7 linked regions of the Macaca mulatta genome follow. The protein of the gene in region 5 binds, or shares a complex with, the protein of the main gene of each other region. Links are inferred from orthologs where the notes say so. Each region holds a gene or a part of one and is shown on either strand. Other genes may lie near its edges. The genes, in order: MORF4L1, MTA2, CHD4, HMG20B, HDAC1, CDK2AP2 and CDK2AP1.

Region 1 (4,100 bases), on a different chromosome or scaffold from region 5:
GAAGGGGTTGTGTTAAAAAGACTGAAGGAGAAATGGAAGTCAGAAAAATGGAGAGGGGCCCGGAAATGGTAGGGTGTGGAACCCGGGCAGGGGAGGGCTTAGAAAAGCCATGGAGGCAGGCTGGGCACGGTGGCTTGCTCCTGTAATCCCAGCACTTTCCGAGGCCAAGCCGGGCGGATCACGACGTCAGGAGTTCCAGATCAGCCTGACAACATGGTGAAACCCGGTATCTACTAAAAATACAAAAATTAGCTGGGCGTGGTGGCACGTGCCTGTAATCCCAGCTACTCCGGAGGCTGAGGCAGGAGAATCGCTTGAACCTGGGAGGTGAAGGCTGCAGTGAGCCGAGATCAGGCCACTGCACTCCAGCCTGGGCGACAGAGCGAGACTCCATCTCCAAAAAAAAAAAAAAAAAAAAAAGAAAGAAAAGAAAAGAAAAATATATAATATTGAAGAAATCCGTTTGTTTAGTGTGTGTACATTCAATCATGGCTCAAAAAATTAGATGACAAAAAAGTACAAACAGGGCAGGTACGGAATGCAGAGGTTGGCATATTCACACTAGCCTTTTGCGGATAGCAGAGCTCCATTATCTCAAAAAGCCAAAGCCTGACTAGTGTTTCCCACGTCATCTTCCTCATTTCCGCAAGGCCGGGACTGGAGAAGAGGAGGTAGACCTGGGAGCCAACAAATGGCTATCAATCCCACCAAATAGACTAGGCAGTGGGCTTGCTAAACAACGAAGCTTCCAGAAGCGGACCCCACTTCCCATCCTCTTGTGGCCACATTGCTGATCCTAAAGCTTTTCTATGCAAAAACTAGCGGAATGCTATTGAATATAGGTTTTCGAGGCAGCCCTATTCTCTCCGGCTACTTCAACATCAATGGGGGCTTATTTGCCCAAAGGACGTCGCAACTGGGTTTTTCCCATTTTTTCATCGCTGGTGGTTCACCGCCCCGACTCTCCCCCATTGCCCGCTCTGCTTTAACCTCCCACGTAATCAATTCCCCGCTTTACCAACCCGCAGCAGCCCGGGGGATGGGGAGTGGCGGGGGGGTGGGGAGGAGTGGGGTAGGGTAGCCGGCCCCTCCCCCACCCAGCTGCGCCTCCACCAACTAGAAACTACCAGTCCCGGCGTGCCCCGGGGCGGCGCGGGCGCAGGGGCGCGGGCGCGGCGGGTTGTCATTGGCTGGAGCAGCGGCTGCGCGGGTCGCGCTGCTGTGAGGTCTGCGGGCGCTGGCAAATCCGGCCCAGGATGTAGAGCTGGCAGTGCCTGACGGCGCGTCTGACGCGGAGTTGGGTGGGGTAGAGAGTAGGGGGCGGTAGTCGGGGGTGGTGGGAGAAGGAGGAGGCGGCGAATCACTTATAAATGGCGCCGAAGCAGGACCCGAAGCCTAAATTCCAGGAGGGTGAGTGTGCGCCTTTGGGAAAAAGGCACCTAACGGCGCAGGAGATGGAGGCGGGCTCGAGGTGGTTGAGGTTTGAGGGCCGGGGGTGGCTCGGGGTGCACCCTGAGAAGGCGGCGGATAGTGCTTTGTGCGGGGAAAGCGCATTGCGGATGGCAATTCCGATGCGTCATTGTGAGCGCTTTGTGAAGCGAGAGTGCTACGCAGGCGTTAGAGTGGGAGAGGGAGCGTTTGGCGCGTGGCACACCCTCGTCAAGTGTTTGTTATTGTTCTGAGGAAGAGGGCGCGGAGAGAGCAGCCTATTGTAGGGAGGCGACCAAGGCGCCATGGCGGCGGTTAGGGGAAGTGATGTGGCGGCGGGGGGAGGGGCGGCGGTGGTTTCTGGCTGTCCTGCAGCGCGCCCGGCCGCTTGGGCAGCCACGACCGGCGGTTAGGTGCTCCCTGGAGCCCCGGGGTGGTCGCGTTCGGTGGAGACTCGGAGCTGCAGATGGGGGTGGGTTTGGCGCCACGGGGCGGGAGAACTGCGTTGTAAAATGGCCGTTGCAACATGGCGGCTTCATCATGGCCGCTGGCGTCTCTGCCCCGTATGCAGGCGCAGCTTCAGGGCAGATGCAGCGCCCCCTTCCACGAAGACCGCAAGGTTGCCGGGACCCTTCGCTTACCTCAGAGTGGTGGGTGGGGACAGAAAAAAAAAAAAAGGATCAGTGGGATGAGCGTTTTCCTCCGCTTTGTGTTGCCTGGAGGCCTCATTCTGCTCTTAGGCGCAGTGCCAAGATCCTATGGTAACGTTAGTGCGCTCTCGCTTTGCAGTTGCTCGTAAAAAGTAAATAAAAATGATCTGAATGCAGTGTTAACGCCGTTTGCCTTTGTAAGTCCCATTGTCTCGACGTCATTTTTTAAATGCAGTAATTGTTTGATTAGTTGCAGTGTTTAACAGTGACTTGAAAGTTGAGTTTATTTTTATTAATTGGTTTTCGATTGGCATGAGGTTTGGCTAGGGTTAGACTGCCAGTGGAAGGCAGCTCTTTAAATTTTCACAACGCTTCAATTTATGTATAATAAGGTGGAGGTCTAATAGCTAAAAAGGAAGTAAAATCCTGTAAAAGGAGGAACACTCTAATATTCGTTTTCATTGCTATGGAAATTTATGCTAGTTACCGTAAATACGGTGTTTCCATGCGTACTATTTTTGTTCTAGGGATTTTTAGACTTGCATTAAAATTCCTTTTAGAGACATAAATCTTAAACCGTAGTACTGCGTATCTTATGGGATATTTAAGGGAGTTTTAGGGGTATTTTGTTAACGAGTGACTTTTTTGTTTTTTTATATATATATATATATATATATTTTTTTTTTTTTTTTTTTTTTTTTTTTTGAGACGGAGTCTCGCTCTGTCGCCCTGGCTGGAGTGCAGTGGCCAGATCTCAGCTCACTGCAAGCTCCGCCTCCCGGGTTTACGCCATTCTCCTGCCTCAGCCTCCCAAGTAGCTGGGACTACAGGCGCCCGCCACCTCGCCCGGCTAGTTTTTTGTATTTTTAGTAGAGACGGGGTTTCACCATGTTAGCCAGGATGGTCTCGATCTCCTGACCTCGTGATCCACCCGTCTCGGCCTCCCAAAGTGCTGGGATTACAGGCTTGAGCCACCGCGCCCGGCCTGTTTATATTTTTGAGACAATGTCTCACTCTGTCACCTAGGCTGGAGGGCAGTTATGGTACTCGGCTCACCTCTGCCCCCCGGGCTAAAGCGAGCCTCCCAAGTAGCTCGGATCACTGACGCGCGCCGTCATGCCCGGCTGAGTTTTGTTCTGTTTTGTTTTTAGGGGTTTTTTCTTTCTTTGTGGGTTTTTTTTTTTTTTTTTTTTTTTTTTTGTATTTTTGGTAGGGACGGAGTTTCATGATGCCCAGGCTGGTCTTGAAGTCTTGGGCTCAAGCGATCCACCCGCCTTGGCCTCCCAAAGTGGGAGGATTACGGGCGTGAGCTATCGCGCTCAGCCGTGTGACTTTTAATACCCTTCTCCCACCTTGAGAATCTGTGACTCTACCTCCTATGGATTCATTATTTTACTAGACGTTTTAGAGCAGATATTCTTAGTGCATTCAGAGGGTCCGTGAAATTGAATGAGGAAGATGTGTTTTTTCTGTGTACCCAAGTTTAGTTTTCAGTTAACAGTGTAATTCCTCCCCCCAAACCCCGAAAAAAAACGCCGCATTAGTATTTTCAGATCTCAGCATTACAGTTGTGGAAGATGTTTTCAGTTATCAATCATTCTCGTTTCTTCAAAATTAGGGTAGTTGCTGGATGACTAGCCAAGTCTTTGTCCTGTAATGTCATAGAACGTGACATTTAAAATGTTTTGGTGTTTCGATACAGTCGGTTGCCTTTGTACTACTGTGTGTTTTATGTATTTATGAAATCATTCGGCTCGTAGGCTGTATCAGACTGTCAAGGCACAAAAAGTTAATCGCTTCTGTAGGAACAGCCTAAGGTTGGCTGTTTAAGGAAGCGCTTTAGTTCTAGAGGGTTGCTAGTTAAGAGGGGAATAGCAGCAGAGAATTCCTTGTGCCTTTTTTTTTTTTTTTTTGAGACGGAGTCTCGCTCTGTCGCCCAGGCTGGAGTGCAGTGGCCGGATCTCAGCTCACTGCAAGCTCCGCCTCCCGGGTTTATGCCATTCTCCTGCCTCAGCCTCCCGA
Region 2 (4,282 bases), on a different chromosome or scaffold from region 5:
CACCAAAGTCCACAACAGGCCAGCAAGAACATTACATTTGTCTCTTGCTAAACCAGCCTGAGGTCCAGCAACCCAGTAAGATGAAAAAAAAAATCACACAAGACTGTGTTTACCAGTTCTTTTCAATTTCAGGAGACTCTTTGCACTAAAACATCACATGCAGCCCTAACTATCCCTCATTCTCTACTTGGCTAATAATAGTTCCTAGGGTTTTCAAGGACAACACCTCTCAAGCTAGTGCCAACATCTTCCTCCTGAAAGAGCTGCAGCTTGCCCTGAAACCTAGTGGAAGGGGTTAATCTGGCTAGGCGCCAACCAAAGTGGGAGGGGGCAGAAAAGCCTCAGGCCCAGGCTCATTGGTGCATTGTTCCCAACCTCAGGGAGAAGGGGGGGTTGTTCAGTAGGCTCCACCCCTCGCTTGTGTGCTCCGGAAACCCTGTGCTAAGGCAAGGGGGACCACACCCCCAACACCCCTTCTGATTGGACAAGGCCAAGGTCAGCCCCTGCCAGATGGGGCTGGAAACCCTAAAGGGCCAGGGAACTTGGTTAGCCAGGCTCCTCTTTAACCCCTTCTCACCCAGAGCAGTCTGAAAAAGGAAAATGATTTAGAAAGGTGGAACAAAAGGAAGGAAAAAGAAAACCAAAGCAGGAAAGGAAAAAGCAGCTAAGGAAAATATTTTTTTTTAAAAAAAGAAAATGAGACCTTAAAGAGGATGAAAATAGAGCAAAATGAAAAGGGAAAGATGTAAAATGGGGGGTGGCAGGTGGGGAAATGGGCAAGGTGAGAAATTAAAAAGTGCAAGAAAACTTCCAGCCATCTTCTAACTTCCAGGTATTCTCACCACCTTGTGATTACAAAATAAGGCTGCTTCTGTTATGCGGGCTTCTCAGTACAATCTCTTCCTCTTCACCTTGACCTTCAGTCACCACCTACTGTCCCAGTGTACCCCAAACTGCCCCCCTTTAGAAAAGCATTCTGTTTCTCTAAACCCCGTCTTCATCCCCTAAATCAACCTTATCGTCTCTCTCCTACTCTCATACACAAACCATATCACAATCTCTCCACCCTGCTTCCAACCCCAACGTGTAAAAACAGGTCTCCCTCCTCAGGCCAGGCATTTCCCACCCTCAAACTCACACCTCTGCCTTGGGCATGCTACCAGGGGAAATACCTGCAGGGACATGCGCAGGCCTCAGATCATGGGGAGGGGGAAAAGAAAGGGATGAAGATACTCACTGGCATTACTATCAGCCAAGCTGTTGAGGCTACTAGAAATGTCCCTGCGCCGGAAAAGACAGACGACCTTTGCCTCCACATTTCCATTTGCAGTCTAAGGGGAGGAAAAAAACAAAAACAGAAACAAAACAACGTAGCAGTGAAAATTGATCATCTGGGAACAGAAATACACAAAGAGACAAATAACAGTAAGTTTCAGAGGGACCTAAATTAAAAAGCCCAAGAAAATATGAGTAAACACTTACATTCAAGGACAGACTTCCAAATCCCTTTCCTTTGCCCCCAAGAGACAGAATAGTAAAGTTCCTGCTAAGCTCTCAATAGCCTTTCCTGAATACATCCAATGAATGAATGAATGAATATGAATGGGTACTTAGTATAGGGTCCTCTCTTCCACCCGAAGTTAGAAACCTCAGAAGAGACCACTGGGGGAGGGAGGGAGAGAGATTCTGCTCCACTCACCTTGTTGAGTTCCTCAATCCGTCTAACCAGGTAAGGATTGCTGGAGGAGTTCTCAAAATAGACGTAATCTGTAAGGGAAGGGAGGGGGGAGAACCACGAAGATCAGAGGAGATGGGAGAGACGCAGAGCACCAGAGTAGGAGAGAAAGTTGGCCTGAGTGGATCAAAAGAAGATAAGGATTCAGGCAGAGAGCGCGCTGAGATGTGAAAGTGTAAAGACTAAGAGAAAATAAGGATGTCCCCCACCCCCACCGCACCTAGTTCTAAAATCAGATCCATTACTCAAAAGTGAGCCTTAAGGAACAGGCAAGAAGCAGGGATTCCCCTGCAGTCCCCACAACTCAGCAACGAGTTGCACCTCAGTCGCGGCGAAGTAATTGTTCGCTCTAGCGCAGGGCCCCCACCTTTTCGAACTGAGGCGCACAATAACGCCTGGGAAGAGGAAACCTCCGGGCGGCTCCTCCGCGGTGGCAAAGCCGTCGCCCCAGCCCCTCGCGTTCCCTCCCCACCCTGTCAGCTCCTTCGGAACCGGTTTCCGAAGCCCACTCCGTGCCCCGAGGAGCCCCCGACGCAGCCCTGAAAGTGCCGTCGGGGCTGCCCGCAGCTTCTCTCCAGGAGTCTCGGCGCCCTGCCGCGTCGCGGTTTCCCGCACCCTAGCTCCTCGTCTCCCGGTTCCGGTTCCGGTCCGCGCTCCGGTCCATGCCGCCCCATACGCTGCGCCTCGCGCCACCCGGTGCCGAGCCCCTCCGGTCCCGACCACAACCTCTCCCGCCCCGGACCCTGTACCCCTGCGCCCGGTACTCACCTCCCACCCGGTACATGTTGGCCGCCATGGCCGTTCCCGCCGCCGCCTCCGGCCGCACAAAGGGGTCCGGGAGGCTCGCGGGGGCAGGGCTCGGCTAGAGGCAAAGCCCTGAACGGTGGGCTGGCGCTTCGAGGGAGTCTCACTGGGGCCCGCGCAGCCGTCACCTCCGCTGCCTCAGCCGTCGCGGTTCATCCCGGCCCGCGCTGTCGCCGCCGCAGCTATCGCCTCACTCCCGGGACGCTGAGGCTGGCCCCGGTCCGCTCGGCTTCTTCCGGAACGAGCTCGGCTCCTGCCAGGCTGCAGCTGCCCCCACCCCCGCCGAGTCCCACTAGTCGTTGAGCTCTGCCGGCCGCAGGGAAGGCTTGCCCGGCCCGCCTCAGGGTTCGCCTCCTTCCGTAACACCTTCGGCCGATCCGGAGAACAAGGCCCACTGCTCGGCTCAGGTCGGAGAGCGAGACCCCGCAGATCGGCTACTTCCGGAAGAAGTTCGGCTCCTGTCGGCCAATCGCTCGGCTATTTCCGTTGCAGCTCGGCACCCCCCCCACCCCTTTTTCCGAGGGCGGGAGAGGAGTGGGGCTTAACTCTGTCCTAGCTGGAGCCCTGCAACTCCTCCTCCCGCCCCGAAGACTCGCGCGCCTTAGCGCTTCGCCAGGTTATTTGCAAGCGGCTTTGCCTGTTATTTGCATAAATGGTCTACGCTCCCTTGCCCTTTCCGCACGCCTCTTTTCCTTCGTCCCCACCCCACAGGGCCCCGGAGGCACCCAGCAGCGCCCCACAAAAGCACCGGGAGGCGACTTTGGTTCTGGTTTATTGCCCCTCAGCAGGCAGCGGGAGTCAAGGCCTAGGTTGGGGCTGCCCGGCTCAACCAGCGGGTCTAAACAGTGTGTGCAGGGGCGCCGCTCGCGCCCTCCAGGGAAATGCACCGTCGGGAATGTTTCGAAGTCAGTCGAGGAAAGAGTCGGCCCCTGGTCGTGGGGGATTAGGGCGGGGCAGAGCGGGGCGGGGCCACGCCGCCAGGCCAGTAGGTCCCGCCGGCAGCGATCAAACGTCGAGGGAGGAGGCGGGGGACAGGGAGGGGGTTCGAGAGGGCGTGGCAGGCGCCGGCCCCGCGCCCCCAGCGCCCAGCACTCGCCACTGGAAGATGCTGGCGTCCTTGCCGCCCAGCGAGACAAGGTGCGAGTCGTCGTGCGTGAACCGGACGCTGGTCACGTGGCTGCCGTGGCCCCCGTACATGCGGCTCGGCGCCTGGGCGGGAGGGAAGACTTGCAGTGGCGGCGGAGCCCTCGGGCCCACCCGTCCCACCCCGGCGGCCCCCGCGGCCTCACCTTGGCACGAGCGCACGGGTACTGGAATAGATGCACTTTGCAGAAGTCGTCGGCCACCGCCACCACGCGCTCGTTGTGGGAGCGGCACAGGGAGTTGATGTCGGTCCCATCGGAGCCGTCCGGCCACACGCCTAGCACAGTGGCCGGCCTCAGCCCGACCTCCTACCCACCGCCACCCACGGCCCAGAGCTACACCGTTTCAGGCGCTCCGGCAGCCGCAGCCACCCACTGTCGCGTTCCAGGAAAGCCTTCCCGGTCCCGAGGGCCGGAGGGGCCTCCTGGGCTGGATCTTCAGGTTTCTGGACTCTCACCCAATGACACACGCCCAGCGTTCCGAGCCCAAACTGGGCTCCACCTTGTCCCCCACCCCTCCAGCAGGGTTCCACGCCCCTGCTCACCGTAGACGTGGAAACCCAGCACACAGGTGTAGGTAGCCCATTCCCGGTCTCGGCTC
Region 3 (3,512 bases), on a different chromosome or scaffold from region 5:
GGAGGTGTTATCAGTCTGCATCTTCACTGCTGCTGGGCTACCTAGAGAAGGAGACCCAAGGAGTCAGAATTCCAGATGATAGGAATCCACCCAATCTCAAGGGAATTCACTGACAGCCTACCCACCCAGTATGTAAAGCTAGGAACATACAACAAAGTTACAAGCTCCAGAATGGTTCTGCAGGAAGAGGTGGTGTCAAGAAGAAAATGGTCCTACCTGCTGTGGGGTAGGTTCGGGTGCCCGGTTTGCCAGGCGGCTGAGAATGTTACGCTCTGACATCTGTAACCTCACAGCAACTGGGGGAATTCGGGCAATGGTAGCTGGGAGTCGAGTCACATCGGCTTTCATGTCACTCAGCAGTTCTTCCAGCTGTTTCAGAACTGCAAAGGGAGAAAAAGAGGTGGTGAGCTGTGGTGGCCAAGACTGAGGTCCCTCTACCCTAGTGGACCAGCATCTCTTCTCAGTGACCAAGTGACTGTGATGTGTTATCTTCTGTCACCTGACCTGACCTCCACCATGTTCAAATTCCTGCTCCTCATATTCCAGTTCCAACTGTTCATGATTTTGTGCTCTTAAAAGTCACCTAAACCTTCACTATCCCTTACTATTATTGTATTTCCTCTTCTTGAGAAGCTTATTCCTGTTTTTTCTCTTCTCTACCTTCAGAATCTGTCTCCCACCTCCATTATAACAGCATTCTTTTCCTTATTTCACCCTCCGCCTCCTCATAACCTTTTACTTTAATTAGAAACAAAACGCTGAAAGGGGTCTAGAATTTGAAGGGATCTTTTATCACCTGAAGTTACCTCTAAAGTATCCCAAATGACACTATATTATTCTGCTTTGCTTTCCATCTCAAGAACCTGAATATATTTAAAGTTAAAAGAGGTGGGGCCGGGCGTGGTGGCTCATGCCTGTAATCCCAGCACTTTGGGAGGCAGAGGCAGGTGGATCATCTGAGGTCAGGAGTTTGAGACCGGCCTGGCCAACATGGTGAAACCCCATCTCTACTAAAAATACAAAAAATTAGCCGGGCATGGTGGCGGGCGCCTGTAATCCCAGCAACTTAGGAAGCTGAGGCAGAAGAATCGCTTGAACCCGGGAGGCGGAGGTTGTGGTGAACTGAGATCACGCCATTGCACTCCAGCCTGGGCAACAAGAGCAAAACTCCATCTCAAAAAACAAACAAAAAAACAAACAAAATTAGCAGGGCATGGTGGTGCATGCCTGTAATCCCAGCTACTCAGGAGGCTAAGGCAGGAGAATCGCTTGAACCTGGGAGGCAAAGGTTGCAGTGAGCCGAGATCACGCCACTGCACTCCAGCCTGGGCAACAAGAGCAAAACTCCGCCTCAAAAAAAAAAAAAAAAAAAAAAAAAAAAAAAAAAGGTGGCCAGGGCGGGGCATGGTGGCTCACGCCTATAATGCCAGCACTTTGGGAGGCAGAGGCAGGTAGACCACTTGAAGTTAGTTTGAGACCAGCTTTGCCAACATGGTAAAACCCCATCTCTACTAAAAATACAAAAACTAGCCGCAAGTGGTGGCGCATGCCTATAGTTCCAGCTGCTCGGGAGGCTGAGGCAGGATAATTGCTTGAACCCAGGAGGCAGAGGCTGCAGTGGGCCAAGATCACGCCATTGCACTCCAGCCTGGGCAAGAGCTAGACTCCATCTCAAAAAGAAAAAAAAAAAGGTGGCCGGGTACAGTGGCACATATTTGTAGTTCCAGCTACTCAGGAGGCTGAGGCAAGAGGATCACTTGAGTCCAGGAGTTCAAGACCCACCCGGGCAAAATGTTGAGAGCCCATCTCTTTTTTTTTTTCCGGAGTCTCACTGTGTTGCCCAGGCTGATAGCCAGTGCAATGGCACGATCTTGGTTTACTGCAAACTCTACCTCCTGGTTTCAAGCGATTCTCTTGCCTCAGCCTCCTGAGCAGCTAGGATTACAGGCATGTGCCACATGCCCAGCTAATTTTGCTATTTTTAGTAGAGACGGGGTTTCACCATGTTGGCCAGGCTGGTCTCGAACTCCTAACCTCGTGATCCACCCACCTTGGCCTCCCAAAGTGCCGAGATTACAGACGTCAGCCACCGCGCCCAGCCAAGAGCCCACCTCTTAAAAAGAAAAAAGAAAAAAAAAAAAAAAAAGAGGCAAAGAACTACTGTCCTTGATTGCCTCTAACATATTAACTCCCCAAGGATGGCAAAGGTCCCTACCAACTCCTAAACTCTCAAAGGAGCTCTGAAAAAGGTTTGAAAACAAATATATGTACATTGGGATGCAGTTAGATGAGGGAGGAGGCCTAATCAGCAGGAGGCAGGGGAGCCACTGGCTACCTTTGTGCAGGACTGCATTGGCTGGCTTGTTTCCTGCCATTGACTCCTTGGACAGGTGCTGATGACTTTCCGCCAAACACTCCACCTCAGCAAAGCGGGTGTTGAGGGCCATGGAAGGGTGAGAAGGGTCTTCTGACATGTTCAAGTAAGCAGCCCGGCGCAGCTGTTCCTCAATCACCAGAGCTTGTTCTAAGAGCTGGACAAGGGATAAAAGGAAACGGGAGTTCGACTGATAACTCACTTTGCTTACTTCTGACTGGCCTCTCAGCTCACCTCTCATTGTTTCTGATAGTAATAAGAACCTATAAATAACTTCATGGACAGCTCATTCCCACACCCAAGCAGTTTAACTTTGCCTTGTATCTTTTTTCTTTCCCTTTTTCAATGTCCTCGTTTTTAAAACTCTTTACCCTTTAGATTCTCTTATACAAAAGCAATAAAAACTCAATTTAGAAAATAGAATATCAAAAATTAACAACAGATGATCCCACCTTCTAGAAATATATCCTGATTTTTTTTTAGGTTTTTTTGTGCATAGTTTTTTACATAACTGAGATCATACTATATACATATCCATATTATGTTTTCATTTAGTTACAGTTAAACATTTTCCTTTTTATCATCTACTCTTTATCAACTACTCTTCAAAAACACGTTTTGGCTGGGCACAGTGGCTCACACCTGTAATCCCAGCACTTTGGGAGGCTGAGATGGGCAGATCACTTGAGGTCAGGAGTTCAAGACCAGCCTGGCCAACATGACAAAACCCCATCTCTACTAAACACACAAAAATTAGCAAGGTATGGTAGTGCACACCTGTAACTGCTGCTGCTCAAGAGGTTGAGGCAGAAGAATGCTTGAACCCGGGAGGCAAAGGTTGCAGTGAGCTGGGATCATGCCACTGCACTCCAGCCTGAATGACAGAGGGAAACTCTGTCTCAAAAAAACAGGGTTATTTTGCTATTTTAAAATATTTTTGTTTTTTATTTCCTCTTATCGCCATCTCACTTCCATTCCTCTGAAAAGCAACCTTTCTAATATAGTAATACTGTGGCTTTTTGTGTAGGTTTTTAAAGACTGTGTTGTTTCATATGTATGTTTCTAAGTTACAGAATGATGTTTTCTGTACCTATGCTTTTTTTCTCCCACTACATACTTTTTAAAAGGTACACTTATG
Region 4 (4,178 bases), on a different chromosome or scaffold from region 5:
GAACTGCTGAATTGCATGGTGATTCCACATTTATTTAACCCTTTGAGGAAATGCCAGTCTGTTTTCCAAAGCAGCTGACTGCATCTGCCTCCTAGACATTTGAACAATTCAATGAATGTGTATTGAACACCCACCACGGTCACTGCTGTGAACCAAACAGGCAGGCCACAGAGAGGAAACCGACTTACGGAGAAAAAAAAAAAAAAAATCAGAGGCGAGGTCCTGGCTGAGCAGGTGACATTTGAGCGGACTTGAGGAAGAGGAAGGGGGCTGGGCGCGGTGGCTCACACCTGTAATCCCAGCACTTTGGGAGGCCGAGGCAGGTGGATCACGAGGTCAGGAGTTTAAGACCAGCCTGGCCAAGATGGTGAAACCCTGTCTCTACTAAAAATACAAAAATTAGCCAGGCGTAGTGGCAGGCGTGTGTAATCCCAGCTACTCGGGAGGTTGAGGCAGAGAATTGCTTGAACCCGGGAGGCAGAGGTTGCAGTGTGCCGAGATCGAGCCACTGCACTCCAGCCTGGGCGACGGAGCAAGACTCCGTCTCAAAAAAAAAAAAAAAAAAAGAGGAAGTGAGCAGCCCCCAACTTGGGTCTGATCCCCCAGAGCGGAGCATCCTGACCCAACTTCACCAGGTCCTTGCAACCTCCCTTTACCACCATCTTTCCCCAAATACTTCCAGCCCAGCTCCCAACCCCACCCCCTGACTGACCCACACCCCGTTCTCAGCTTCGCAGCATCCCAGCCTCTATGCCCTGGACATCGTGCGATGTCCCCATTGCACAGGAGGGAAAGCCCAGATCCCACTGGGAAAGCCGCCCCTGTGGCCAGAAGCCCTCGGATCCGGATGTCGGGGGTTCTGAATAAATAAATAGGAAACGTCTCCGATGGGTTTTGCAGGATGTTAAGAACAGGTCCCACCTTGTCCTAGGGCTGGGGGCTGCCTCACAGGAACTTAACCCTAGCACCTCCGTCCCCATGGCAACCGGGGCGTGGCCCGACCCGGATCCGCGGGTCGCGCCATCCGGCAGCTGCTGGGAGTATCGCCCTCAGAGCGGGAGGAGGAGTCGGCGCCTCACCTACTGGCCCTTTAAGAGGCTCCGCCCGGCAAGTCCGCCACGCGCTCCCGATTGGTCCCGAGCGCGGCCGAGCGCAGCCGAACTTGACGCACCGCCCGCCGCCTTCCTTACTAACCTCCCACGCGGCTCAGCAGCCTCCCCAGCCAATCGCCGGCCGGCGCGCCGATCGGTATCTGCATGGGCACGCCCCGGGGGAAGGCCTCACCCAATGGGACCGTTCGCCGAGGCCTCATTAGCATGCCGGGGGCGGGGAGGGGCGGGGCAGTCGGCGGGGGTGGGCTGCGGGCGGTTGGTTGGAGCGTCGCGCAGTCGGGAGGTCCGGGAAAGTTTCTTTGGAGGTGAAAACAGCCGCGGAACTCCGGGCCTTGCGAGGGGGCGGGGGTGCGGGGGTCCCAGGGCCGGGTCGGGGTCTTTCCTGGGCCGGGGGGAACCGGCCCAGGCCTCCCGGGGGGCAATCGCCCAACAAAGGATTCTTGGGGCGCCCGCCCTCGAGGACTTCCCCGCCCCCGGATCCGGCCCCCCCAGCGCTCCGGGCCCGGCATCCCGGGGCTCTCCATCACGGGATACCCCAGTTCGCGGTCCGCCATCAATCAGCCCAGGCGCTACTCAACTCCGCCCGCGTCCGTGTTCCAGGTCCGGCCCGGAGCAGCCATGTCCCACGGCCCCAAGCAGCCCGGCACGGCCGCCGCGTGAGTGCTCCGATTCCCTCCCCACGCCCTCGCTACCTTCCCGGCTGCAGCCCTAGCTCCTGAACCCCCGCTCCAGTCACCCCGGCCGGGGTCTCGACCGCCCCCAACCTGGGTCAGGGGGCTTCTCCCTCCATCCAATCCTGCATACCCCACCTCGGCCTCCAGCCCCTCCCAGGAGCCCCGCTTGTCCCACCTTCCGCGGATACTGACCCCATCAGACCCTGCTTCCTCGGGCTCATGCACTCTCGCAGCAGCCCCATCGTCGGGCGTCTAAAAGCCTTGGGGTAGGCGTTTGGGGGAGGGGAGGCTCTAGGGACGGGGCTGACCTCTGTATCCTTGGCTCCAGGCCGGCGGGCGGCAAGGCTCCGGGCCAGCATGGGGGCTTCGTGGTGGCTGTCAAGCAAGAGCGCGGCGAGGGTCCACGCGCCGGCGAGAAGGGGTCCCACGAGGAGGAGGTGAGAGTCCCTGCGCTGAGCTGGGGGAGGCCCCGGGCTGCGGCCCCAGCCTTGAAGTCCCGCCCCAGGCTGGATTTGAATTGCTTGTGGCTCCGCCCACAGCCCAGATTTTCCTCCGGAAGCTGAGACCCCGCCCCGTGCGAGCTGCCACGCCCCTGACAGGTCCTCTGCCTCCCTAAGTCCAGGCCCCGCCCACCACACAATGCCAGCTCTGCCCACTCTAAGGTCCCGCCCACTTCCACTCCTTGGGGGCGGCACCCTCCCCATGGTCCTGTGGGCCCTTTCTCCAAGAAGCCACGCCCACCAAGCAGAGGCCACGCCTACAATCTAAGTAAACACCACCCCTGTGCTCAAACCTCGGCCCATAGTCTCTGGGATCCCCTCATCCCTGGCCAGGGACCCCTCTAAACCACCGTGTCCTGACTCCTGACTGGGCCCTACCTCCATCTCTTCCGGGTTCTTCCTCCCAACTAGGCCCCGCCCCGTCCCCGCCCATACAGCATTAGGCCCCGCCCATGCCCCTCTGAGCCCCGCCCCAGTACGCCAGGCCCCCCTCCCAACGACGCAGCCCGGTTCTGCAGCCGGTGAAGAAACGCGGCTGGCCCAAGGGCAAGAAGCGGAAGAAGATTCTGCCGAATGGGCCCAAGGCACCGGTCACAGGCTACGTGCGCTTCCTGAACGAGCGGCGCGAGCAGATCCGCACGCGCCACCCGGATCTGCCCTTTCCCGAGATCACCAAGATGTTGGGCGCCGAGTGGAGCAAGCTGCAGCCAACGGAGAAGCAGGTGAGCGGGGCGCTGAGCAGGGCCGGCGGACCCCCGTACTACCAGTAGCCCCGACCCCCAAAGGATTCCACGTGCAGGGCTTTTCCTTATGCCTGGTGAAATGCCCACCCATGACCAGTTTTTGTGTGTGTGTGTGTGTGTGTGTGTGTGTGAGATGGAGTCTTGCTCTGTTGCCCAGGCTGGAGTGCAGTGTCGCGATCTCGGCTCACTGCAACCTCCACCTCCCGGGTTCAAGCAGTTCTCCTGTCTCAGCCTCCCAAGTAGCTGGGATTACAGGCGCCAGCCACCACGCCCTGCTAACTTTTGTATTTTTAGTAGAAATGGAGTTTCGCCATGTTGGCCAGGCTGGTCTTGAACTCTTGACCTCAAATGATCTGCCCACCTCAGTCTCCCAAAGTACTGATATTACAGGCATTAGCCACCATGGCCAGCCCATGACCAGCTTTTGGGGGCGCGGCTAGCAAGAGGCAAGACAGATCGAAAACTGGGTGACCAACAAAGATATGTCTAAGAAGTCAGGATAAGGCCTGGATTTTTTGTGAAATCTGATTTTCATATACTGTTAGTTTAAAAATTGCAAAAACATCACGGAAATGTAACAAAAGCCACCGCCGCTTTGCACCCCTGTAAGTGAAATTTCAAAGAGAAAAACGGGTGCAGGAGGGAGTCTAGATATCCACATACCCTGGAGGTTGGGTGCCTGCCCATGACTCTGGCGCCCAGGAGTGTCTTGTCAGGGCGGGAGTTGGGGATGAGCCTGGGGCATGGGAAGTGATGTGGGAGCTCAGAGGTCCTTGAGCAACAGGCTGAGGAGCCGGTTCTGTCTGTCTGGAGGGAATAGGGAACTATGGAAGGTTCAGGAGAGGGGAGGGTGCTGTGAAAGCTGAGTGATGAAGACTGGGTCCTGGCGTTAGAGGCTTCCCCTGCCTCAGGTCTTTTGGTGCTGTCCCCCAGCGGTACCTGGATGAGGCCGAGAGAGAGAAGCAGCAGTACATGAAGGAGCTGCGGGCCTACCAGCAGTCGGAAGCCTATAAGATGTGCACGGAGAAGATCCAGGAGAAGAAGATCAAGAAAGGTGGGAGGGGTCAGGCGCGGTGGCTCACGCCTGTAATCCCAGCACTTTGGGAGGCCGAGGTGGGTGGATCATCTGAGGTCAGGAGTTCAAGACCA
Region 5 (3,512 bases):
TTTAAAAAGTCTCTAAAATGTCCTTCTGGTTCAGTCCCAGCCCAAGTTCAATCTCTGACATGGTACTGACAGGTGTCCTTGACTGTCCTCTCCTACTAAGAGATCTTATGTACAGGAGTTCCCTGCAGACCTCCTGGGGTTGTTAAGATGCTGTATGTAAAAGCAATTTGTGAACTGCAAAGTGCTATAAAAATGGAAGTGTCATCATCTGTGAATCTGTCCTATGAAAAAGTATGGTAATTACCTTTAGAGGTCAGAAATACTCCCCACGTGTCTCCCACTTCCATTTGCAACTTTTGGGTTATCTCCAGGATGACTCTAAACCCTTTCTTAAATATTTATTTCCCTGTGATCCCCCACCAATATAATCATTGTGTCCACCCCCGCTGCCCGACCAGTATAATCGCAGAAAACAAAGAAGTGCACAGAAAAAAACACAGTCACCCATAGTCCCAGGGTTGGTGGATAACCTCTGTCACCATGTTGGTGTTTGGCCATTCTTTGGTGTGTGTGTTTATATCTGTATAACACATATACAACATCTACATTTTACAAAAGTAGGTTATATACATATCACATATATATGGTTTTATGCCTGCATTTCCTACTTAACGAAATTGTCTGTAGTTTTCTACAGCTTGCTTTCTTGTGGCTCTATGATTATTCCATGTTGTGGATTTACTTGAGTTGATCTAATCTGTCCCTCTTCTTGATAATTTGGATCTATCTATGCTTTTATTGCTGTTAAAATCAACACTGCAGCCGGACACGGTGGCTCACGCCTGTAATCTCAATCCTTTGGGAGGCCGAGGCAGGTGGATCACCTGAGGTCAGGAGTTTGAGACCAGCCTGGCCAACATGGTGAAACCCCATCTCTACTAAAAAATACAAAAATTAGCCAGGCGTGGTGGCGCACGCCTATAATCCCAGCTACTTGGGAGGCTGAGGCAGGAGAATTGCTTGAACCTGGGAGGTGGAGGTTACAGTGAGCCGAGATCGCGCCACTGCACTTTAGCCTGAGTGACAGAGTGAGACTCCATCTCAAAAAACAACAACAAAAAATTAACACTGCCGGCCGGGCGCGGTGGCTCAGGCCTGTAATCCCAGCACTTTGGGAGGCCGAGACGGGTGGATCACGAGGTCAGGAGATCGAGACCATCCTGGATAACACGGTGAAACCCCGTCTCTACTAAGAAATACAAAAAACTAGCCGGGCGAGGTGGCGGGCGCCTGTAGTCCCAGCTACTCGGGAGGCTGAGGCCGGAGAATGGCGTGAACCCGGGAGGCGGAGCTTGCAGTGAGCTGAGATCGGCCACTGCACTCCAGCCTGGGCTACAGAGCGAGACTCCGTCTCAAAAAAAAAAAAAAAAAAATTAACACTGCCACAAATGCACTTGCACACATGAGTGTGTATTTCTCTTTTACTTCTTCTGGGGCCTATTTGTGCTAGTGCTTTTTTTTTTTTTTTTTTTTTTTTCTTTTTGAGACGGAGTCTCGCTCTGTCACCCAGGCTGGAGCGCGGTGCCCGGATCTCAGCTCACTGCAAGCTCCGCCTTCCCGGTTCCCGCCATTCTCCTGCCTCAGCCTCCCGAGTAGCTGGGACTACAGGCGCCCGCCACCTCGCCCGGCTAGTTTTTTGTCTTTTTTTGGTAGAGACGGGGTTTCACCGTGTTAGCCAGGATGGTCTTGATCTCCTGACCTCGTGATCCGCCCGTCTTGGCCTCCCAAAGTGCTGGGATTACAAGCTTGAGCCACCGCGCCCGGCCGTGCTAGTGCTTTTTGACCTAGTGTATCGGCACTATCTTTGGTCATTTTTTTTTCTTTCTTTCTTTCTTTTTTTTTTTTTGAAGTAGAGTCTCCCTCTGTCACCCAGGCTGGAGTGCAGTGGCGTGATCTTGGCTCACTGCAACCTCCGCTTCCTGGGTTCAAGCGATTCTTCTGCCTCAGCCTCCCCAAGTAGCTGGGACTACAGGTGTGTACCACCACGCCCAGCTAATTTTTTTTTTGTATTTTTAGTAGAGACAGGGTTTCACCATGTTGGCCAGGCTGGTCTTGAACTCTTGACCTCAGGTGATCTGCCCACCTCGGCCTCCCAAAGTTCTGGGATTACAGGCGTGAGCCACCGCACGTAGCCTATCTTTGGTATTTTTTCAAAGTTCCTTGACCATGAGCCATAGTAAGAAATAAATTTACACATGCAATCCAGGATACATATAACACATATGCATGCATGCACACACTCACTCACTCTGAAGCCAGTTTTACAAAAGAGCAGTTACCTTTACTGTTACTCTGATATTTTTTTCTATGCTATTTCATTAAAAATATATATATACTAATAATGATGCACTAAATCAATTTTAAGGCCTGCTAATGGGTTACTACCCTCAGTTTGGAAAATAGTATTTTAAGAGTAGCCAGTGTCATGTTTATTTCCTGCTGGAGTAGGGTGGGAGGGAGGGGACTAATCTATGAATTGTACAATACAGCTGTTGAATAGGCAGGTCTTAACCTCTCACTTGGTTCCCTGGGCTTCTTGGAAGAAGGGGAGAGTGGCTTAGTAACCAGCTTATGTTCTCTCTTCCCATGCCCAGCAAGTGCTGTGAAACTTAATAAGCAGCAGACGGACATCGCTGTGAATTGGGCTGGGGGCCTGCACCATGCAAAGAAGTCTGAGGCATCTGGCTTCTGTTACGTCAATGATATCGTCTTGGCCATCCTGGAACTGCTAAAGTATGCCTGCCTGGCCTTGTCTCTTGGAAGAGCACCTTAGGCCAGGTTCCCATTTCCCTTTCCCCCTGGGCTTGCCTCCCTAGTTTGCTTTTCCTACCGATGTGCTGGCTAGGATGTGCTCGGTGAGTGTCTCTGGCCATCATCTCCTTGATGGGGTCTTGGTTTGAACTGAGCCACGGCATGATCAGGGGCAGGTGCTGCTCAGATCCTGCCTCCAGAGTGTCCCTGTGTGGCTGGAGTTGACCCTGGCTGTAGAGTAGGAAGATCGGACTTGGTCGGCTTGGTCAGGCCTCTGGAGACACCTGGCCGCTCTTCCACCTTCCTTCAGCCAGTTTCCACGTCTCTGGTGCTTAGAGATACCTGAGGGAGGCAGCCAGCCCGGTAAGCTGGGACCTGGCGCCCTTGGCGCGTCCCATCCCCAAAGAGCCCCCAGACCCCTGACCCCCTTCTGACCCTAGGTATCACCAGAGGGTGCTGTATATTGACATTGATATTCACCATGGCGACGGCGTGGAAGAGGCCTTCTATACCACAGACCGGGTCATGACTGTGTCCTTTCATAAGTATGGAGAGTACTTCCCAGGAACTGGGGACCTGCGGGTGAGAACGCCCTTTAGGAGCCAACCAGCTCACCCTCAGCTGGCAGCTCTACTTCTCTGTCCTATCTCATGCCACTAAAAACTGCTTCCTGCCTCTTCTGCCATTCAGAATACCATGTCCCAATCTGAAGCTCTTGCCCTGATCTCTTTCCCTTCTTTATTCTGGAGGAAGGGAATGAT
Region 6 (3,848 bases), on a different chromosome or scaffold from region 5:
GGTGCTGGGGTAGTGACAGCAGCACCCGGCCAGCCCCTCCCCTTGACTGTGAGGCCAAGGGCTGGAAGCAGCAGTGCCCGTTCTCTCTGAGGAGTCAGAGACCTTCAGGGCTGATTCAGAGGCTGGGGTGTTGTCAGGGCATTAGGGCGTTTGAGGGAGTGGCTTACGTGAACTGGCATTTCCATGCTGCCAGGCATCACCGCCAATCCAGAGGAAGCGCCCTCCAGGCCCAGGCTGCCCATAGCGCCAAGGGCTGTGGAAGCAGCCAGGCCCTGTGCTGCCCCCTGGTGGCACCACAGGAAGGCCCAGGGCTCTCAGCGCCACGGCTGGGGCGGAGAGGGCCCGGTTCCCACCTGAGGCTGATGGCCCACAGAGGCAAGTCAAACCCTGTTTAGTCACACCCTCCCCACTCCTAGTCTCCTCTTCCCCTTTCTCTGCCTGGCCCACCCAGGTTTAGCTGAAGAACCAGACCCAGAAAGGCTCAGAGCTGAGAGCACAACTCCAAATCATCTTTTATTAATATAAAAAGGGCATATTTAGCAAAAGACACACAGATAAAAGAGTCACTATGGCTCAGGACACAAGGCAGTGAGGTGCCAGGCCTGAGCCCCTGCTGGGGGAGAAGGAGGCTCGGGACAAAGTGGGAGAAGGGCTGGGAAGGGCTGAGCGGTGGGGACCACAGAAAGTTCCGGTGGGCAACACTGTTGGCAGGTCATGGGTGGGACTCATGGGGACCTCGCTGCTAACTCTTGTTGTGGGGGGATGTCCTTAGTGCTGCCACCTGGAGAGCCGCTCCTTGGTTCCTGGAGGGGACCCACCAAGGGACACAGGACAGGAAGCCCAGGATGGTTAGTGCAACTCGGGATGAAGGCCAGGGAGAAGCGGGTGCTCTGCAGTGGCCGGGAAAGGTCCAGACGCTGAGGCCGGGGCGCTTCCTGTTACGTGCGGGCGTTCCGCTCTGTCTCTGCCAGGCACTCTCTGACTAGGGCCCGAGCATGGATGATACCTGGTGGTGGGGTGGGGTCTCAGCAACCCTCCACAGCCCCACCCACTGCCCTCCAGAGGAGGACCCCTGCCTCCCCACTCCCTTTCCCCTTTCAGCAAGAGAAATTCCAAACTAATGACGGCTAGATGAGATTAGAGGTTTGGTTAATCCTCAAGGTTGCCCTGTAGAAGTACAAATTCCCAGGCTCTTCCCTGGAAATGGACGCAATTTCAATTCGATTCAAAACACCTCTCTGGGTAGTAATACTGGCCCTCCTCTAGGCTTGGCTCAGGTGGCCTCCGGATGTCTTTCTTTCCCTAATGGAAGATAGTCCAGTGTCGGTTTCCTAAGCAGGGCGGCCTGGCCTCACTTACCTCTCTTCAGGCGCTCCATGGCGCTCTTGCTGCCAGCATATGTGGGCCGGATCTCTTTGCCCATCTCCTCTATGACTGACAGCAGGTCCGTGTAGGTGCTCTGGGAGCCCTGGGCGCCGGGTGGCTTCATCGCCTATGTCAAAAGAGAACAGGGCAGTGAGCTCAGGCACCTGGCGGGGAGGGGGACTCCAGTCCCCATCCATAAGCAAGCCTTTGGCCCCACTCACCTGCACGTAGCCCATGGAAGGCGGTCCAAAGTCGTTAAACAGCGGTCTAAAAGGAGCGGCGGCTCCTGGCACTGAGCCCGACGGCGACGGGACGCTTCCTGCAGCAACAGGCGCGAGTAAGAGGTCAGCGCGGGGCAGGGACGCCGCCTCCCAGCTTTTCCAAGCCCAGGACCGGGTTCGCCCGATTCCCTCCAAAGGATGCTTCATTCCAGGCTGATCAACTTCAGGGACAAATCCCTCCCACTGCGCTCCACCTACAAGCCCTTACGTGACCACGCCCACTTCACAGGCCAGCAAACTGAGGCTCAGCGAGGGTAGGCGGCAAGCCCAGTATTGCAGAACTCAGGCCGTCTTCTCTTCGAGACCTCGACCGCCCGGCAGGCGAGCAGGGGTGGAGCTGGATCCTCACCTGTAGGGACCGGGGTGCCCGGCCCAGGGGTGCTGGAGCCAGGGGTGCTGCTGGGGGCAGGGGCGATGGGTTTGTAGGACATCCCCAACTCCTGGGCGCGGCGGACGCCAGCCGGCCGCTCCTCGGGGGTTGGCTGCCGGGCCGCTCAGCCGCGCTCTGATTGGCAAGCGGGCTGCACGCCCCTGGTAAATAGAGGTCTGGCCGGAAGGGCGAGCGGGCACGAATGCTCCCTCACTCCCGATTGGTGGGCGAAGATGTCACTCGAGCCTCCTTATTGGCCGAGACCTGCCCCAGCAGGTCGCAACCGCCGCCGATTGGCCTCCGCCTTCCGGACCTCGCACCTGTCTGCTCCGGATTGGGCGGTGGCCACCGCCCTCCGCAATTGGCGAGTTCGCGGCCCGGGCCGGCGCGCTTTCAATCCGATTAGTCCCCAGGCCCTAGAGGCGGGGCCTCGGGAACCCGGACCCGGGGCTGGGCCGCCGGTTCGCGCCGAGGGTGTCTTCCCGGGCGCGGGCGCCACCCTCGCGCCTCACTAGCGCTGCTTCAGACGTCTGCTCCGCTCTGCCCAGTTTCGGCCCAGCAGGGGTTGCTGTCGCCGCTGCCGTGGCCGCTGTCACCGCTGCCGTGCGCGCTTCTCTGCTCCGGGGGCCGAAGGACGCAGGGCTTTGACGTCCCGAGCCCCGCGCCCCACCCCGTGCGCTTTTACGTCACCTTTCACCGGTTCAACACCCTCTCCCCGATCTGCGCATGCGCCCGCCCGAGGCCTGCGTTTGTTCCCATGGCAACGGGCCCTTCATCTATGCCGCCGCGCACCGTTCTTCCTGAGGCTTGGCTTGTCCTCAGGTCCAAGGGCGACCTCAAGGACCCCTTTGCCCTCACCCCCAAGGCCCCGCGCCGCTGCCTCAGTTAGTGATAATGGCCGTAGGGCAAACAGGGATTACTTGTGTGCCGGGCCCCGGACCAAATTGGTCAAGAGCACAGACTGGAGCCAACCGCCTGGGTTCGAATCTCAGTACCACCCCCACTAGCGATTTCCCCCAGGCAAGTTTCTCACCTCAGTATGCCTCAGTTTCCCCATCCGTAAAATGGGGAAAATGACAATCTCATTGGGTTGTGTGGATTAAATGAATAGTCATAAAGAGCTTCCTGTCCCACTCCAGGGCCCCCATACCTTTCCACTCCACCACTCAGACCCCTCCCCTCAAATCTCATTCGCCATAAACTTAGACCTCAGACCCTCCTCCACTCACTAACCCTTTCTCCCAGGCTCCTTCCCCAAACTCAGACTTCTCTGGCCTTGTGTACCTTCATGCTCCCAGCTTTGTAGATCTTAATCTCCAGGACAGTCATTCATTCATTCATTCATTCATTCATTCATTCATCCATCCATCCAACAAACATGTTCTGGCCCGGCGCGGTGGCTCACGCCTGTAATCCCAGCACTTTGAGAGGCCGAGGCAGGCTGATCACGAGGTCAAGAGTTCGACCTCGTGATCGAACATGGTGAAACCCCTGTCTCTACTAAAAATACAAAAATTATCTGGGCGTGGTGGTGGGCACCTGTAATCCCAGCTATTCGGGAGGCTGAGGCAGGAGAATCGTTCAAACAGAAGTTGCAATGAGCCGAGATCGTGCCATTGCACTCCAGCCTGGGTGACAGGGCAAGTCTCCGTCTCAAACAAAAACAAAAACAAAACCCAAGAAACCACACAAAAACCATGTTCTGACTCCCTCCTCCATCTCATGCTTTGTACTGAACCCTGAGGTTAAAGAAATGAACAGGCCATGGCCTCTGTACTCAAGGAGGCCTTATTCTCTGAGACAGTGAAGCAACATCTTCCTTACATTGCAGT
Region 7 (3,064 bases), on a different chromosome or scaffold from region 5:
ACGGCGGCGCCGAGACAGGCAGGAGGCCCGTGAGGCCTGGAGGCAGTGCCGTGGGGAGGCAGAGCAGCTGGACCAAGATGAGGACAGGAGGACAGAGCGCAAGGCCAGGGGACAGAGGCGGCGGTGGAGGAGGGAGGAGGCGAGGACCTTGCCCAGGGAGCTGGTGCAGCTCTGGGAGGAGGCAGCCAAGGGGAGGTGGTCTGGGCTTGCGGGCTTGCCGGGAGCCCAGCCTCGCTGATCCGGGTGCTTGCTGTGGGGCTCCCAGTGGTGGTGGGAGGAAAGGGTTTCTGGGGGGTGGGCCCTGTGGGTGGGAGGATGAGAGAAGGGAATGCATTCCAGGCTCTGGCGGGGCCATGGCCGATGGCTGTGGTCCTGGTGGCCCAGGTGCGGCCTCTGTCTCCCCACTGGCTTGGAGGCTCGGCACCTGCGATGTGCCCTCCTACTCATCTGCATCCTGGGAAATGCTGTTTGGACTCTTTTGTGCCAAGATGAGCTGGTTCCCCTGTTTTGTTCATTGGAGATGATACACTTGCTTCCTGGAGGCGACTGGGTGGTCTTCCTGAGTGTGTGAGGATAGAAGGGTGAGGACCATCCCCCTAACCTGTAGTTGTCCCCTAGAATGGGACGTGCCTTGGCCCAGCTGAGGTGGCTACCCCAGGAGTCTAAGGCTGGACTGCGTTCCCTCCTCTGACCGGCCCAGGGGCCTCTCCACCCACCTGCCTGTGGCCTTGGGGTCAGGCTGCTGAACCCCTTTTTTTTTTTTTTTTGAGATGTTGAGATGGAGTCTTGCTCTGTCGCCCAGGCTGGAGTGCAGTGGAGCGATCTTGGCTCACTACAACCTCTGCCTCATGGGTCCGGTCCAAGCAGTTCTCCTGCCTCAGCCTCCTGAGTAACTGGGACTACAGGTGCCCACCAACATGCCCAGCTAATTTTGCTGAACCAATTTCTTTCTGATTCTAGGGAACTGGGAACAGCCAAGTGCCCCAAAGCAAATACGCGGAGCTGCTGGCCATCATTGAAGAGCTGGGGAAGGAGATCAGACCCACGTACGCGGGGAGCAAGAGTGCCATGGAGAGACTGAAGCGCGGTGAGCCCGGCCCCGCTGCCCTGCCGTGACCACAGGCTAGGCCTTTAACTCTGGAAAGACTTTTGGGGAAAACATGGGAGGGTGGGCTGGGGATGGGGCTCCTTCATCGGAGCTCCTGTCTTGTCACAGAGTTGCTGTCTGCTATGGAGGCCTCAGGCAGGCGGTGGGTCTGGTGGCGAGGGGCCTAGGGGGCCGGATGCCTTCAGAGGGGTCTTCCGGGAAGGGCAGCCCAGCCAGGGAGCTCTTCTTACCCTGTGTGCTGCCAGGGGGTCTGCTGGCTTTCAAGGGTGTGTTCAAACCACCCCCCACCCCCCCCCCCCCGCCCTGGCCGCCACCACTCTCCCTCCTGCCTCCTGCCTGGTCTGCTTCTGTTGGCCGACACTGGTCCTAGGGAAGCCAGGCTCAGGGTTCTTTGGTGTCTGCACTGCCCTCTGCTGTCACCTCTTTGGAGCGAGACCCAAGGAAGTGTGTGGGTCTGGGGCGGGAGGCTGAGAGCACTTTGTTCTTTAATGACTGGAGAAGGAGGGCAGGCAGGAGATGACAGAGCACAAGGGAACTCATGTTAAGGTGTGACTGCCCGGCTGATTTTGAAAGGAGGTTAAATAGATTGCTATCTCCTGAAATAAAAAGGGAATGGAGGGAGAGCAGGATTTCTATTTTAGAAGGCGATAGTGCAGCGGAGCCATAGCCCATGAACTCATTCAAGATGAGGGGAGACTGGTGCTTTTTTTTTTTTTTTTTGGGAGACGGAGTTTTACTCTTGTTGCCCAGGCTGCAATGCAATGGTGCAATCTTGGCTCACCGCAACCTCCACCCGGGTTCAAGCGATTCTCTTGCCTCAGCCTACTAAGTAGCTGGGATTACAGGCATGTGCCACCAGGCCCAGCTAATTTTTTGTATTTTCAGTAGAGATGGGGTTTCTCCATGTTGTCTGGCTGGTCTTGCACTCCCAACCTCAGGTGATCTGCCTGCCTTGGCCACTCAAAGTGCTGGCATTACAGGCGTGAGCCACTGTGCCTGGCCCGGGACTTGGGGTTCTTAAAAAGGCTGGAGAAGCGACCTGGGAGGGGAACATTTTTTTTTTTTTTGAGATGGAGTCTTGCTGTGTCACCCAGGCTGGAGTGCAGTGGCGCAATCTCGGCTCACTGCAGCCTCCGCCTCCCGGGTTCAAGCGATTCTCCCGCCTCAGCCTCCCAAGTAGCTGGGAGTACAGACGTGCGCCACTATGCCCAGCTAGTTTTTGTATTTTTAGTAGAGACCAGGTTTTACCATGTTGGTTGGCCAGGATGGTCTCAATTTCTTGACCTTATGATCTATCCACCTCGGCCTCCCAAAGTGCTGGAATTACAGGCGTGAGCCACCATGCCTGGCCTGGGAGAGGAACATTCTTTGGTTGTAAATCTGTAGGAAATATGGGGGCTGTAGTTGAAGTCATGACCCCAGTGACACGAGGGCCAGTTGAGGACAGGCTGCTGCCAGGAGCGGGGTTGCTCTGGAGTTCATGCAGCCTTTGTGAAGAGGTTGACGGATCTCAAAGCTAGGTTGGGACCAGCAGGGTTAGAGGATGTGATTGAAGAGGGCCTGGGGAAGGGATGCAGAACCCAACCCTGGTCTCGCCCAGAGTGTTGGGTGGTCCCAGGGCCGCTCTCTGGTAGCAGGGGTGCTGGTTACCCGAATGGAAATTCCTGGGAAGATGCTGGGTCCCAAAGTCCAACAGGTGATTTGCAGTTGCCCATAAAAGGCACTGCTTCAAGTCAGCAAATGCGTACTAGCTGCCAGTCTTGCAGTAACAAGGAAGACCCAGTGCCTCCCCTTGGCCAACAGCCAAGCCCAAGCTGACCAAGCTCATGTCACAGCAGGGTGAAAACATGTCATAGAGGGGTCAGGGAGTTAGGAGCATAGGAGCGTTGTAGGTTGGTTGGCAACTGCAGCCCACGAGCCAAGAGCCAAGAATAGTGTGTTTTTCTTTTTTTTTTT

The links.
Region 1: HDAC1 (region 5) and MORF4L1 share a complex: the UniProt entries of both Homo sapiens proteins name them as parts of the SIN3B complex. The link is inferred for Macaca mulatta from reciprocal best matches to the Homo sapiens genes HDAC1 and MORF4L1.
Region 2: HDAC1 (region 5) and MTA2 share a complex: the UniProt entries of both Homo sapiens proteins name them as parts of the nucleosome remodeling and deacetylase (NuRD) repressor complex. The link is inferred for Macaca mulatta from reciprocal best matches to the Homo sapiens genes HDAC1 and MTA2.
Region 3: HDAC1 (region 5) and CHD4 share a complex: the UniProt entries of both Homo sapiens proteins name them as parts of the nucleosome remodeling and deacetylase (NuRD) repressor complex. The link is inferred for Macaca mulatta from reciprocal best matches to the Homo sapiens genes HDAC1 and CHD4.
Region 4: HDAC1 (region 5) and HMG20B share a complex: the UniProt entries of both Homo sapiens proteins name them as parts of the BHC histone deacetylase complex. The link is inferred for Macaca mulatta from reciprocal best matches to the Homo sapiens genes HDAC1 and HMG20B.
Region 6: HDAC1 (region 5) and CDK2AP2 share a complex: the UniProt entries of both Homo sapiens proteins name them as parts of the nucleosome remodeling and deacetylase (NuRD) repressor complex. The link is inferred for Macaca mulatta from reciprocal best matches to the Homo sapiens genes HDAC1 and CDK2AP2.
Region 7: HDAC1 (region 5) and CDK2AP1 share a complex: the UniProt entries of both Homo sapiens proteins name them as parts of the nucleosome remodeling and deacetylase (NuRD) repressor complex. The link is inferred for Macaca mulatta from reciprocal best matches to the Homo sapiens genes HDAC1 and CDK2AP1.

What each region holds. Positions count from the first base shown.
Region 1 is NC_133412.1:57,080,808-57,084,907, forward strand, and holds the start of MORF4L1 (mortality factor 4-like protein 1), read left to right. Parts: upstream 1-1,290; 5' UTR 1,291-1,370; coding exon 1,371-1,410; exon of another isoform or gene 1,411-1,480; intron 1,481-1,562; exon of another isoform or gene 1,563-1,755; coding exon of another isoform or gene 1,756-2,047; intron 2,048-4,100. UniProt on the Homo sapiens protein: Component of the NuA4 histone acetyltransferase (HAT) complex which is involved in transcriptional activation of select genes principally by acetylation of nucleosomal histones H4 and H2A.
Region 2 is NC_133419.1:11,464,218-11,468,499, reverse strand, and holds the start of MTA2 (metastasis-associated protein MTA2), read right to left. Parts: upstream 2,810-4,282; 5' UTR 2,532-2,809; coding exon 2,504-2,531; intron 2,386-2,503; exon of another isoform or gene 2,103-2,385; intron 1,768-2,102; coding exon 1,700-1,767; intron 1,332-1,699; coding exon 1,238-1,331; intron 1-1,237. Other genes in the region: EML3 (echinoderm microtubule-associated protein-like 3), read right to left, coding at 3,545-3,748, 3,829-3,959, 4,227-4,282. UniProt on the Homo sapiens protein: May function as a transcriptional coregulator. Acts as a component of the histone deacetylase NuRD complex which participates in the remodeling of chromatin.
Region 3 is NC_133416.1:7,522,677-7,526,188, forward strand, and holds part of CHD4 (chromodomain-helicase-DNA-binding protein 4), read right to left. Parts: exon of another isoform or gene 3,309-3,512; intron 2,532-3,308; coding exon 2,336-2,531; coding exon of another isoform or gene 2,333-2,335; intron 381-2,332; coding exon 217-380; intron 42-216; coding exon 24-41; 3' UTR 1-23. UniProt on the Homo sapiens protein: ATP-dependent chromatin-remodeling factor that binds and distorts nucleosomal DNA. Acts as a component of the histone deacetylase NuRD complex which participates in the remodeling of chromatin.
Region 4 is NC_133424.1:4,383,181-4,387,358, forward strand, and holds the start of HMG20B (SWI/SNF-related matrix-associated actin-dependent regulator of chromatin subfamily E member 1-related), read left to right. Parts: upstream 1-1,370; 5' UTR 1,371-1,460; intron 1,461-1,712; 5' UTR 1,713-1,730; coding exon 1,731-1,768; intron 1,769-2,114; coding exon 2,115-2,223; intron 2,224-2,804; coding exon 2,805-3,008; intron 3,009-3,962; coding exon 3,963-4,083; intron 4,084-4,178. UniProt on the Homo sapiens protein: Required for correct progression through G2 phase of the cell cycle and entry into mitosis. Required for RCOR1/CoREST mediated repression of neuronal specific gene promoters.
Region 5 is NC_133406.1:208,549,409-208,552,920, reverse strand, and holds part of HDAC1 (histone deacetylase 1), read left to right. Parts: intron 1-2,594; coding exon 2,595-2,733; intron 2,734-3,191; coding exon 3,192-3,333; intron 3,334-3,512. UniProt on the Homo sapiens protein: Histone deacetylase that catalyzes the deacetylation of lysine residues on the N-terminal part of the core histones (H2A, H2B, H3 and H4).
Region 6 is NC_133419.1:6,872,817-6,876,664, reverse strand, and holds CDK2AP2 (cyclin-dependent kinase 2-associated protein 2), read right to left. Parts: upstream 2,543-3,848; 5' UTR 2,078-2,542; coding exon 1,996-2,077; exon of another isoform or gene 1,845-1,995; intron 1,839-1,844; exon of another isoform or gene 1,794-1,838; coding exon of another isoform or gene 1,685-1,793; coding exon 1,587-1,684; intron 1,493-1,586; coding exon 1,360-1,492; intron 1,007-1,359; coding exon 939-1,006; 3' UTR 511-938; downstream 1-510. UniProt on the Homo sapiens protein: Acts as a component of the histone deacetylase NuRD complex which participates in the remodeling of chromatin.
Region 7 is NC_133416.1:130,669,631-130,672,694, reverse strand, and holds part of CDK2AP1 (cyclin-dependent kinase 2-associated protein 1), read left to right. Parts: intron 1-960; coding exon 961-1,087; intron 1,088-3,064. UniProt on the Homo sapiens protein: Inhibitor of cyclin-dependent kinase CDK2. Also acts as a component of the histone deacetylase NuRD complex which participates in the remodeling of chromatin.